Linked DNA regions of Drosophila melanogaster. The protein of the gene in region 2 interacts with the protein of the main gene of each other region in a pairwise test. Each region holds a gene or a part of one and is shown on either strand. Other genes may lie near its edges. The genes, in order: Ptp99A and Csp.

The links.
Region 1: the proteins of Csp (region 2) and Ptp99A interact in a two-hybrid assay, tested with the Drosophila melanogaster proteins (one study listed by BioGRID).

The regions. Positions count from the first base shown.
Region 1 is NT_033777.3:29,375,904-29,380,834, forward strand, and holds the start of Ptp99A (protein tyrosine phosphatase 99A), read left to right. Parts: upstream 1-1,742; 5' UTR 1,743-2,121; intron 2,122-4,931. UniProt on the Drosophila melanogaster protein: May play a key role in signal transduction and growth control. May have a role in the establishment of the intersegmental and segmental nerves.
Region 2 is NT_037436.4:22,265,818-22,273,674, reverse strand, and holds Csp (cysteine string protein), read right to left. Parts: upstream 6,294-7,857; 5' UTR 5,923-6,293; coding exon 5,888-5,922; intron 4,323-5,887; coding exon 4,184-4,322; intron 4,102-4,183; coding exon 3,949-4,101; intron 3,887-3,948; coding exon 3,755-3,886; intron 3,744-3,754; exon of another isoform or gene 3,455-3,743; intron 2,762-3,454; coding exon 2,699-2,761; intron 2,118-2,698; coding exon 1,913-2,117; coding exon of another isoform or gene 1,905-1,912; exon of another isoform or gene 1,307-1,904; coding exon 1,284-1,306; 3' UTR 377-1,283; downstream 1-376. Other genes in the region: CG11523 (uncharacterized protein), read left to right, coding at 7,121-7,597; Ddx1 (Dead-box-1), read right to left, coding at 7,830-7,857. UniProt on the Drosophila melanogaster protein: May have an important role in presynaptic function.

The DNA.
Region 1 (4,931 bases), on a different chromosome or scaffold from region 2:
TCTTTAGTTGCATCAGGATGTGGCTGGCTGGGGTGGGTACCCTTACTCTCCTTATGGCCATTAAATTGTGGGCAATTGACCGGTTCGAGGGGTGTGGACATCGTTTAGGGGCAGGTGCCTGAGGCACTGGGATAATTGCGGAAGTAACACGCTGATCGGCACAACAAATTATTGCGATGGACTGGCAGTTTTGTCAGATGGCAAATTTAATGCGAAAGAAATCGTGTTCTATGTTCAATTAAATTGACGGTAAATAATACCATTAGAATATATTTAGTTGAAAGATAAAAGATATCTTTTAAAGGACTTTAAATTAAGAAAAAACTAACAAGGCTGTAGGACTATGTAATCCAAACAGTTATTTTACAGACCATGTTATAAATAACATGCCCATGTAATGTTCGCATTAACAGAACATTCAATTCGAATATCTTGTTAACGTTGTTCGAAAATTAAAAGTAGAAAAAGTCTGTAATGTAAACATAACATAGACCAACACAATTTCTCCTTCAACTGCAGGTTCACATCATTTGATTAACCCCGAATGTTATTTATTCCATAGCTATAGGCGTCCTTTTTGCGAATGTTATTAGCAGAATGGTTCGCTTTCTACCCCTTTCCAAATTTAGGACAATAACATTGCACTAACATTCTAGAGTAGACCTCTGTTCCCTAGCCTGTTCAACGCGTTAACAGAACGTTGACTCAGTTCGAATGTAGACCAACAAACTCATGAAAACAACATTCGCGCAGGACCAAGGGGTGATTTTCGAAAATGTTACGGAAACCTTCTTTTGCGGTGGAATTTTCTGTAAACACTCGGTTACAGGACAAGGCAAAAACAACAATTTACTGATTCAGTATTCAGTATTCAGGGGTTATGATTTTGGTCGAAATCTTTTCCAGACATTACAGCGGTTGAAGAGTTCTAACATTACTACAAATGTACTACCAATGTTAAGCATTTTTACTGTTCAAATAACTGGCAACAGTAAAAACGTCCACTGATTGTGAATAACTCCAAAATGTAATGTTATGATTTATTTTATAAGAAATTTAAATCAATAAATTATTATAAATATTTTTCGAATATTGAATATAATCGAAATAAGCGGATTATAAGATTTGGAAAATTAATTGAAGCTTAGCTCCTTTATAAGAGACTTTATATAACATATTATTTAAATTTAAAATTAGTTTTCATCCAAAGAGCTGCTATGTGTGGCCGAAGCTAACTGCGGTCCGTCCAGGACCTCTTTGTAGTGCCTTAGAAATTCCTAAAACACTTGCTGCCAACGTTTCAGTTCTGTTTGTGCCGCAACGCTCGACACCTGAGCGATTTGAGCAGGTCGTGGCCGCCGAAGAGCGCGTCTCTTATCAGTGATAAGGCCAGCGCAATTCGGAGTTTGGTCATGGTGAGTTTCGGAGTTGAAAGTGGAACAAGCGCTCTCCCAATGAGAGAGCGTGAGTCCGTTCGCTCTCGGCAGGACGACAGCCGAGGCGTCCACCCGCGCACAAATCTAGGCAACAGCACACACTGAAGCTCGCAAAGAAGTTCGGGAGACACACACGGTGTGTGTGGTGGAAAGCCGCTGGAAACCCGAAGTCGGCCACGAACCACCGACCTTCTATTCTGGAGGGGTTTTCCGGGGGATGCGGCGGTGGTGCAACGGCAGTGGCAGCGGCAACGGCGGCTTCTGCCTTTCAGCTGGGAATTTATTTGCGCAAAAACGAAGCGGCTCAGTTTCGTGTTTGTTGTGCGCTCGTAAGGATGTGTCCGCTGGCGCTGCCGGACTTCGTGCGTTCGCGTCGCGTGTGTGCGCGTTTATCCTGACGCTGAATGTATCTCAGCCAAAGCGGCCGAAACGGGCCACGAAAAGTGCTTGAAAATCAGGCGAATAGCTCAAGTGAATGCCAGAATAATAATCATGCATATTGATAAAGCGTTGAGAGAAAATCAAAAATAAAATGCGGCAATCGCTGTCCAGTTCCGTGTTAAGTTTTTATTTGTGTTCGTGTGCTTGGATTCGGAAAGCAGGATCCCAATTACCGACGATCTCGAGGATAAACCACTAACTGATAGAAGGTCCTGCGTTGCGGAAAATAAAACACAGCAAAAAGGTGGTTATCCCCAGATTTGGTGACCCACAAGCATAACTAAACGATTCGAAATCGAGGCAACTGGATGAGAACTGGGTGAAAATTCCAAACTCGTCGTCGTACTGCAGCATATTTAGCATTTTGCATTTTGGGGCGGACTTTTGGATTTATGTTGACCCACTTCGCTAAGCGATTTCCCTTTCAATTTGCGTCTTGAAGCGATGTTTTAGCCAACTTATCCCTCGACCATCTCAGTTAATTAGTTTAATTAGTGAGTGTCGTGGGCCCATCGTTGGTTGGTTAGTCGGTCTGTTCTGGCCCAAAAATCGGTTTGGCATCTCGAGCCAAAATTAAGAACCTTTCTGGCGCAAAGTTTTATTTGAAACTGCTGACCCGGGATTCGGTCGGTCATGCCCTGCCGCTAATAGCCGACATTATTGTTAGGATTCGCTGGTAGTGGGAGTTGGGACTTTTCGGGACTGGACCAAACAAAGGGCCATCGGATCGACTGTATGTGCCATTGAACAAACACCAAGCCAAAACGAGTGAAACCCTTTTTGCGCCACTTTTCCTAATGCCACGACTGCCATTTGTTGGGGCAATAAAAGCCAGCCAGCCAGCGACTTCAGTAAAGATGAAATGAAAATGAAATAAAATAAACAACAATGGCTGGGCAAAATTAAACTAAATTTATTTGCTTTGCCACTAAATTTGCGCTGATTTCGGCAGCAGCTTCACTTCACTTCACTCTCGCATTATGTTGCCCCACTCAAAAAATGTGTTTGTCAACAAAGCCAGCGGAGCGCAAAAATGGTCCTTGGTCCTTGGTCGAATCCCCTTGCACCAAAAAGAAAAAAAATCGAGAGTGTTTGTGCTTAACCTTTTGGTGGAGCCGGATTTCTGGCTCGACTGGTGTGGCACACGTTCAACTATTTTGGAATTTGCGGCACGTGCCCAAATTGCAAACATCAGCAAATAATAATATAAATTCAGCCAGCAGTTCGGGCATCCAAACCGAATTAGTCGAGTGTCCTTTTTACAGTAGTGCTTACAAGATGATTAGGCGTGTGGCTGGCATGTGATACATTTAGCTGCTCGTCGTATAATAATTTCATTGTTGCAGCTCTGCAATTTATAATGCGGCAACAATTGCAGTCGCACTTGCAGCAAAGGCGTGCAACTTGTTGTCGCTGGATGCAAGCCCACCCCTTTGTGGCAACACTTGAGCCGCACAGCCACTGCAGTTGCACTTAAGCTTCCACCGCTGCAGTTGTTATTTCTATTTCTATTCTCTCTCTACTTTTGCACACCCATCGTGAGCCGCCGTCTGGCATTATAATCCGCATCTATGTGAGTCGGTGCAAGTGTATACAGAAGCAAGTGCGCGATGTTGTGACCAGTTTTTTTTTTTTGCAGGAAATATACATCTTGATTGTTGAAGTTGAAGCTGACTCGATCTATGTGTTCGAAGTTTGAGTCCTGCAAGGACTTCGGCGACACCTCTGGCCGTGCTAATTAACCAAGTTCCAGCATTTCCATTTAGCTGACTGCTTTTCTTTCATGTCAAAGCATTTAATTATACTCCTACATTTACCCGCTCCCTCTCGTTTCCCGCTTTCCCCACGCTTTTCACTTTTTTCCACCTTTTTTTTTTACTGCTGGACTTTGCCTGATTTATTTATGCATTTACCTTTGCGAGTTGCCCGTGGAGGAAGCTGCTGTCATGCTGCTGGTTCGTTGTCTTAATTCATTTTTTATTCCAACGTAAATAAGCTGTAAATTACAACTTCTGTTGCTCTGCTGTTTCCAGCTGATGTTGCTGTTTTTGCCGCTGCTCCCTGAATATTTTGTATGATTCTACTCCGGCAATTCCCGGGCTGCTTGTTGCCTGCCTCGTGCTGCATGCTGGAAGCCGCATGCCCCGTGTCCCGTGCCTCATGCCAAATGCAGTGCCATATTTTTTCACTCTTCACTGACGCCCCGTCCCTTTTTTTTTTGCATACACAGAGAAAACGGAGTCAGAGCAGCATCTATTTTAATTGTAAATCACAAGCTTTTAGTCATTCAAACAATAAATCAAATATTTTACAATGAACAAAAGAATAAATAATTAGAGGTAATAAGCTGCATATTAGGATGTTGATCTATACAGTTGGGCAATACCAATTATATTTTTATAAATTATCTTTTATAATTCATAATATTCTTATGCATTTTATTATTTTTCCCAATGTGCATAAATCATTGCGAAAGCGGGAAATGGATGTGCATGTGAAGTGGAAACATAATGGCTTTCCTGTTGCTAAAAAAAAGGACATAAACGAGTGATAAAATATGAAAGTTTTATGAGCAATTGTGAACGGCTGATACACTTTAGACACATATCTGTGTAGCATTGATCAATTTGCGTTGCATACTCGTGTTTTCTCGCTGTGCTGGAAGTCACATCCCGCTGCTTTTTGCTGCTGTTTAATTTAAAGTTTGCCACCCAAAAAGGGGAGCAGCATTGCAGTTGGTGGTGGGAATGTGGGGCTGTCATAACTGCAAATCGGCTACTGACATCCAGCTACTTAACGCTCCTCACTGCCTTCCGCTCGCCGTTTGCGTTTGTGTTTGTGTTTGGGGCATGGGGCATGGGGCATGGGGCATGGGCATTCGGGCATGAAAGCGGCTCGGAACTGTCTGCGGACCCAAAGGGGACAACTGCCACTACTACTTCTAATGGTCAAAAAGAACGGGCTGGGCGACGATGGCGCTGCACTGCGTTTGGAATTATGTGGAAAATTGAGAAAATGTTGCTCAACAACACAAGTACAAGCAGAAGTAGAAAG
Region 2 (7,857 bases):
GTTAAGTTTAAATTTAGTTTACTTAGTATTTTTGCTTTGACTTGTACGAACAATAAATACACACGCAAGACCGTAAAATGTAATTATTAATAATTGAATTTTATATATGTATGCGTGTTTATACTATAGATGAGCCGGCGACTCTCGGATCCCGGCCCTAGACCCAGGCGCCCAAGGACTTTTATCCTGGCCCGGAGCTGATCGGCAATAATTGATGTCAATGATTTAGAATGGGATACTACAATATAAAAGTTAATTACTGCTGGACTAATCGCATTCATTTACATTTAAAAGCGGGTTAACAATCAAACAAAAATTAATTAGATTCAATTCAATTTTGAAACAATTTGGAATACATAAATATGTGCAATACTTTCGGGGGTTACAATTCAACTTTTGATTACTCGTATTTAATTGTTTTATATATAGAGGGGATTATTAATATCTGTTATATAATTTATATTTGCGTTAATTGGATCGCCCTTCAAAGTGTCCTCTTCTTCGTCCTCCTCTGTTTAACTGTGTGATGCTTAATTGTTTAACTCGTATTTACATTTGCATTAGAATCGGATCGGAGCAATCTGCTGGGCGCGTCGCTCGACAATTCATCCTTTTTACATAAGTAGTTCTGGCTTTAACAATTTAGTGCAAAATAACAGAAACAATCGGTGAAGAGGAGATCTCGAGAACAAATTAGCTAGACTAAGCGACGACACAAATGCCACAAACTAGATACACATATCATATACATATATATAATTACAGTGCCTCTCTTCGCGACTGAATCCCAACTCACGGGCTAAGCCGCAAGGGATCCGATCCCCAAGCAAATGTCTAGACAAACTTCCGATATACAATTTCATCAACACCGAATGGTGTTTTGGTGATTAGCATGACTGGATAGGTGGAGATGGTGGCTTCGCGGCTTGGCTATCGATTCGAGTTGTATAGTGGTACAGCTGCAAGGCTAGATGCATGGCTTGAACAATGGAATTGGTGAATCGATTGCCCGAAGTGGACCAAAATCAACCTGACTGACCGGAGGGCGGCCACGAAGTTCGATAGTTTAAAATTAGAGCTAAGTGCTACGGCTTAAAATAAATACATTGGTTTCTATGTTTACTCGCTTCAACATATCGCGCATTTTAAAAACAACACTAATAATTATGAAATAAATCTGGTTTTCTCTTCTGTTACGATTTAGGGGCTTGTGTTTTCTGTGTCTGTATCTGAATGTGTGGTGTACGCAAGCACCCGGGTCTTGACTCGCTCGCAGCACTTGACTAATATTTTTGATTAACCATATCTAGAGTGAAGAGAGGGGGAGAGAGAAGTAGACAGTGATAAGTGAAAAGAAATCAAAATGTACGCGTTGCATAAGAAACGATAAAACTAAAATCCGTCAAACTTAAGCTACATTCTTTGAATATGTCTTGGATGGAAATTAAAATTTTCATTTCATTTAATTTGCGAAAGCTTGGAAAACAATCTTGAAAGGAGGTCTTTAAAATGGGGGACTTGAGTACGGCTGGCGCAGACCTAAGGAACGAAAGGCTGAGTCAATCAATCTATTCATTGGTCATCCTGCAGCTCGGGCAGTGTGTGGTAATGTAATTCAGCATGCAGATCTAAGTAAATGGATCCCATATTCGCGTGGACATGTACAGAAAGTGACTAAAAAATACCTTGCCGGATACACGAGCTTACTGCTAAGGGGGTGTTGATCTGATCGCTGGACGGGGTATGTCGACTGGTGACTGAATGCCTTCGCCACCTATCCAGCGACCGAAGGAAACAATATTTGTTCGATATATGCACAATAACAAGTTCGATGGTCAAAGACGCTTTGTCGGATTGCCAAACTAGCGGAGGCTGGCTGTGTGGTTGACTTCTGGACCAATTGCTTATATACCTGGCGTGTAAGTGGTCTGCTCCGTTGTGTTTAGCGACGTATTCTCGTTAGCTGCTACAGGGGCGCCGGTGAAGGGGTTTACTCCCACGGCTCCACTGGGCGGCGGCATGGCGAAAACAGGCTGTCCTCCGGCCTGTTCCCGCGGCTGTGAGGTAACGGGGGCTCCGCCCGCACCCAAGTTAACGTCGTCTAGGTCAACGTCCTCCTGCGGGACACAAAAGAGTGGGATTAGGATTTCTGCCGGTATTTTAGTTTCTGCAGCAAGTTTTGAGAGCTTGGAGGGAAGGTCCCTTAACCAATGTTTAGTCAAAAACTTTCGGTGGGCTGCCTACAAGCCATGTATGTACACTATTCTACGGTTTAGTTACGACCACTACATTACTCTTGTGCTGATGGATAGAAGGACCCTTCAAGCCAAATACTACAAAATTAAAATCAGCCAGATGACAGCATTGAAAGAAAATCATAAAACATTTACCAAGTATTTACAGCAGTACTTTCAAAAAAACGACGTTTTTTTATTTTGTCATCTCTTCCTCTGTTCTCTCGATCAAGTTAGTTTTGCGACTGAATGTTAGCTTAGTAAGACGTGTTCCCTTGGAACATATAAATTTCGATTGGTTACCGTTTAAGTAGAGTTCGGATTTGGTTATTGGCTTTGTGTTATTTGGGTGGTGGGTGGGTGGGTGCCTTGAGCCAGGTGGAGGCGGTAGGCAGGCCGCAGGTGATCTTGCACCTTTTTCATGCGGTACTCGTGCTGGTATTATTTTCGATTTGCATACTTACAAGGCGTGGCGGCTGTCCCAGATGCGTTGGCATATCGTTGCCCTCCCGATTGCCATCGGGGCGCTGACGGCGAGGTCGAGAGCGAATGTGTGGTGGTTGTGGGTGGTAGTAGGTGGTGGATATGATGAGTCGATCGCAAAGATTTTTGAGAAAAAAAAAGAAGTTAACCAAAAATAGAAACGTAAGTCTATAGCTTCTGTTCCTTAGCTTGCAAACTAGCAAAGGAAGAAGACTTCTAATCTGGGTGGTTTCAAAATAAATTTGTATGCGCAATGGGACACTTAAAAAACAAGAAAAGCAATCGTGGAAAAAACAATAATCGTTGCACTGTCTGTCTCGAGAAATCCGAGCGTGTATGTGTTGACGTTATTTATTATTTTTTTTATGGAGAGAGAAACGTTGGAAGCATTTGATGATTTTCGTGAAGTACATATATACAAAACAAACACTAACAATAAATTATACAAAAATTGTTCGATGGATCGGAAAAGTTTTAGGGTTAGTCGTGTTTACCTCTGGTCTCAAAAATCAGTATTCTGATTACTTCAGTGTCTGGAGAATTGATAATCGGAAACCAAAACCAAACTTCATACTTACCCAAAATAAACTAATTACAAAGCAGTGCAATCAGAGTAGTGTTTGTACGGAGTAGTGTGAGTAAGGGAAAACCAATCGAGGGAGATGGTGTGCCAAGATAGCTGATAACCCAGGAAAATTATACTAAAAAATGGTTAGGCGTTTATTGTTCGGGCAGCTGTTAAGTAAGCGTTGATGTCAGATGTAGGGGCTCGTTTTTGACTAAACATTAGCTTCTCAGAAGGAAAAATGATACAGATCTCCCCACAAAAATCATCAAAGTTGGTTTGTTAGGTTCGTAATAGTACAGTGTGTGGGTGGATGGGAAGCATGCGTTAAAGTTAATGTTTTAGCTTTGCACCGGATTGGTTTTCTTGTTTTCTCTTTTCTTAACTAAATCAAAATGATTTCAGTTATTGGCGGGCTGTGTTGGGGCGGGTATTATATTTGGACTTGGCTAAGCCAAGTAACTTCACTCACATTCAGATGTGAATACTGATCGTGCGACTCGTTGACCGGCGGCTTGAACTTGCCGCAGCAGAAGTTGCAACAGCAGCAGCAGCAGCAGCAACAACAGCATCCAGTGATCACGGCACAGCAGATAACCACCGCCTGCAAGGAGAATCAGAGATTAATTAATGTGCCTAGGCATGCGAAATACCGCGATTCCTGACCTTTACAGCCGGTGAAGTGACCACGAAGTATGCGTTGACATTCTCCTCGCCAAACTGCTCGGCTATGTACAAGCCCAAAGAGCCGTAGTTGTCGTATATGTTGCGCTTCGTCTGGTCGCTCAATATCGAGTGGGCCCGGTTGACTTCCTTGAACTGCAAATATATTAATATATTTATATTATATATTATATTAATATATTAATACGCATGGACCCATTTCTCGGAAATATTTTACCTTATCAGCCGCATCCACATTGTCCGGGTTCTTATCGGGATGGTATTTGAGTGCGAGTTTCCGGTAAGTCTTTTTAATATCATCTCCGGTGGCTGTCTTCGGAAGTCCTAAGATCTCGTAAAGCGAGTCGCCAGATGTCCTAAATAAATGAAAATCAAGTGAACATGGTCTCTGTATTGCGTAGGATTACTATCCACGTCTCCGCATTTGGAATTAAAGGTTGATAACCACGCACAGGTAAGACCTCAGGAACCACTGCGTGGACCTGCCTAGCGCAGTTGCACTGTGCCTCCGACATTCCTTCAGCTGCGTATGTTACATTCTGACAGAGGGCGATAAGGCCCAGCCATCGCAAGTAGTATTGGACTATGACTCACCGCAGCAACAGTTAGCCGTGGCACGCGATGGGAGCTCATCCGGGCGAGCACTTGGCCCTCAGGGCTTGCCTGCACCCACGGACTAGGCGTTGGCATTGAGGGCGTCCAGTTCGAAAGCAACTGGCATTGTTGGCTCTGCAGCAGGGTCGCGTGCAACATAAATTGCAATCTGTATGGATTTTCTTGAGCAGGTGGGTGCTATTTATAAACTTGGTAAGTTAAGGGGGTTGGGGTGCAACGCTGTGTATGCCTAAACCCGCTCTGAGAATCTGCGAGCTGATAAGGCGGCGAGCGCTCGACAAAGTGGTTGAGGACCACGATGATGAGGGTGATTACAGGCTCAAGCGGATGCGTGCCCCAGGGACACTGGGCGGTGGGCGACTGCACAGGGCCAAGGACATTGGCAGGCATCATGACAATCTAAGCCAACTCGAATTCGCCTGGGCCAAACTGAAGCGGTTAGTGCTGGCATTACTCATATAGGGTACAATTATAGAGACGGCTAACGCGGCCGTAAAACTTTCTGTCCGATAACGGCCAGGCTGGTTAGTTAGTTGGTTGTCGTGTTATTGGATCTGTAGGTCTGTTGTTATCGCGCACTTATGCCGGAATCGGTATGTGTTGCACGAAGACCCAAACATTGAACAATTTAAATAGAACAATATTTATAAAATGAAGTATTCGACTCATTTTTTCTCTATTAAACAATTGAAATCGTGCGATTTGCGGGCAAAAGAGGTGTGGCCAACCGAGAAGAATGCAAGAGGAAGAGGAGAAAGGAAGAGGAAATTCTCATACTGTGTAGTTATAATGTGTAATTCTAATAATGGTCTGTATGTATTACATAGCACATATCTGAATGATATCGGCTCGAGTCTTGATCGATGATGTGCGTAGCCTTTTTTCTACCTTTTACATTTTCCTGCCTAATGCAACATAAGTTGAAACTATGCCACTAAGATTTTAACTAACGATTATTGAAATCAAATAAAAATCGAATTCCGTCAAATGGCCAAATTTGTCCTTGGCCTTGCCCAGGACGAATTCGCTTGTCCGAAATCAAACTCCAGCCGCAGCTGCCCTCCCCTTCCCACTACCGGAGCCCATTATTACCCCTGACCCGGTTCCTTGTTTATCCCGACGTGGAAAGGAAAGTGCCTGCTGGCTCGAGAAAACTTCTGCCGCGAAAAATCAATTTCGCGCCGACCGCGCTGCCTGCGCGCAGCTGCTACTCACACTCGCGCACGGGCTGAGTGTGTGTACTCTGCCGACGGCGCGTGTGTGTGCGCCGTGGAGGAAAAATGAAGGAGCACTACAAAATACTTACGACAGTTTTCTCTTGTCCATGCCAGGTGCGCTCATCCTGATGCCTGTGTCACTTTGACTGCGAACGGGTAACTTGCACTAGCGATCGCTGTCACACGCAGTGAAAGTCTGTGCCTGCCAAGAACCACAATCTGTGCGTGTACTCTTATAATTGCAGTTTTTGACGTCCGTACCGATGCCTCGATTCTTATTTTTTTCGCAACGAAATTAGAGATGGAACTGAACCGATGTTCTATCTTATCGGTTTACCTGCCGACATCAATGATTTCCAGCTCTGGACTAACACGCCATCTATCGCAACATTAATAGCTGCTGTTACGGGACTCACTGTAAGAAATCGCATCGAAAGTGTGCACCAGAGAACTGCAGCAAGCCACTGGCACTCCAAGTGCACCCGCTAAACACTGTTGTATCTAGGCAGCCGGGTGTTTTTTGACACTCTACTTGCGGGAATAAAAAATATCCGACAGTTTTTTATTACGAGCGCAATAACCTTTTCTGGTGAGCGACTCACAAGCAACGATCGGCCGCAGGTCATTTTCTGTATGCATAAAATTTGTATGGGCGGAAGCGAGATTGTCTAAGAAATGAAGGGTGAAAGGGAACACCCAAGGAAAAGGTCGTGCACGTGTTTTTTTTTTTTTGATGCAACCCATTTCGCAGAATATTTTTTTATTAATATTTTTTTATTTAAAAATTAAATTAAGTTTTTTAATTATACAATTACAAAGTTAAATAAGGGAAGCATATATTAAGAACTAATAATAAAATAAAAAAAATTGTCTATTTCGTTTTTTTTTAAATTATTTAATTAAATTAAAATTATTTACAGTTTTGTAAAAAGAATGTAAAAAAGAGGCTATATACAAATTTTGGACTTAATCCATAATCTATACTATGCACCCCTCCATTCCAATTTCAATTATTTAGGAGTAATTTATACTTTCGATACGACAGCAACCGTTTTATATCGGTACGTCTTACGAACTTCTATTAAACCAAAAACTAAGCTAAATTGCATGTAAAATCATTAATAACGATTATATTCAGTTTGGCCGGAACGCCCTGCTCCGCTTCATCGGTCAAAATGTACTAACGCGTGGCACACGCCACACAGCTGCTGTGACACATATGGAGTAGAGTGGAACGACATGTTGCGCCTGTAAAAGGGAATCAGATCGACTGGGATTCAATTAAAAGGCGAGCCGCAGAGCTCCGAAGCGATTCTGTTAGGATGGGCGAACCGAAAGCCACCGCAGACCCTGGGGAGGAGCAGGCCTTCAACTGCGAGGACGAAGCCAACGCCATAATTAACGATGTTAAGGCTCACGTCGCTGAGATTTGCATCTCATCCAAACTGGCAAGCGATGCCACGCAAATTTACCTGAACATCCGGACTATCGAGAGCGCCACTTGCTGCGTTCAGGTGAGCAGTCGTGGCTTCAAGATCGTCTCCTCCCAGTACGACACCATAGACGAGGACAGCCGGATCTCTGCACTGCTTCGCAACGGACAAGAGCAAGGCGACGACGAGGAGGAGGAGATATTTGAAACGCCGTACGCGCTGCTGGACAAGATCAGCCCCCGCTACGTCGAGTCGTTCGGCAACCAGCTGTGCCAGCAGCTTAGAGCGCTGCAACAGATGCGAACCGAGTTCAACGAGGAGGACGAGGAGGAGGAGGAGGAGGCGGAGGAGGAGGAGAAGAAGTGACGGTAACCGGACTCCAGCTTTCAAACGAGGCTGTTTACTCTTTAGACAGACGATTTTAATGTTAGTTTAATTAAATGTTTATTTTTAATAGCAGAGCTTGAGCTCCGACTTCCTACATATACAAAATTGTGTGTTTGTGCCGCAAAAGTATTTCCGCGTGAGTTGGTCTTGCACTTCTCAATTCACCACATCCTTTCCTTGCATAGCAAACAAATGTCGCTCCAGATCCGCGTTAGACCTTAAGACGTTTCAAGAATAAA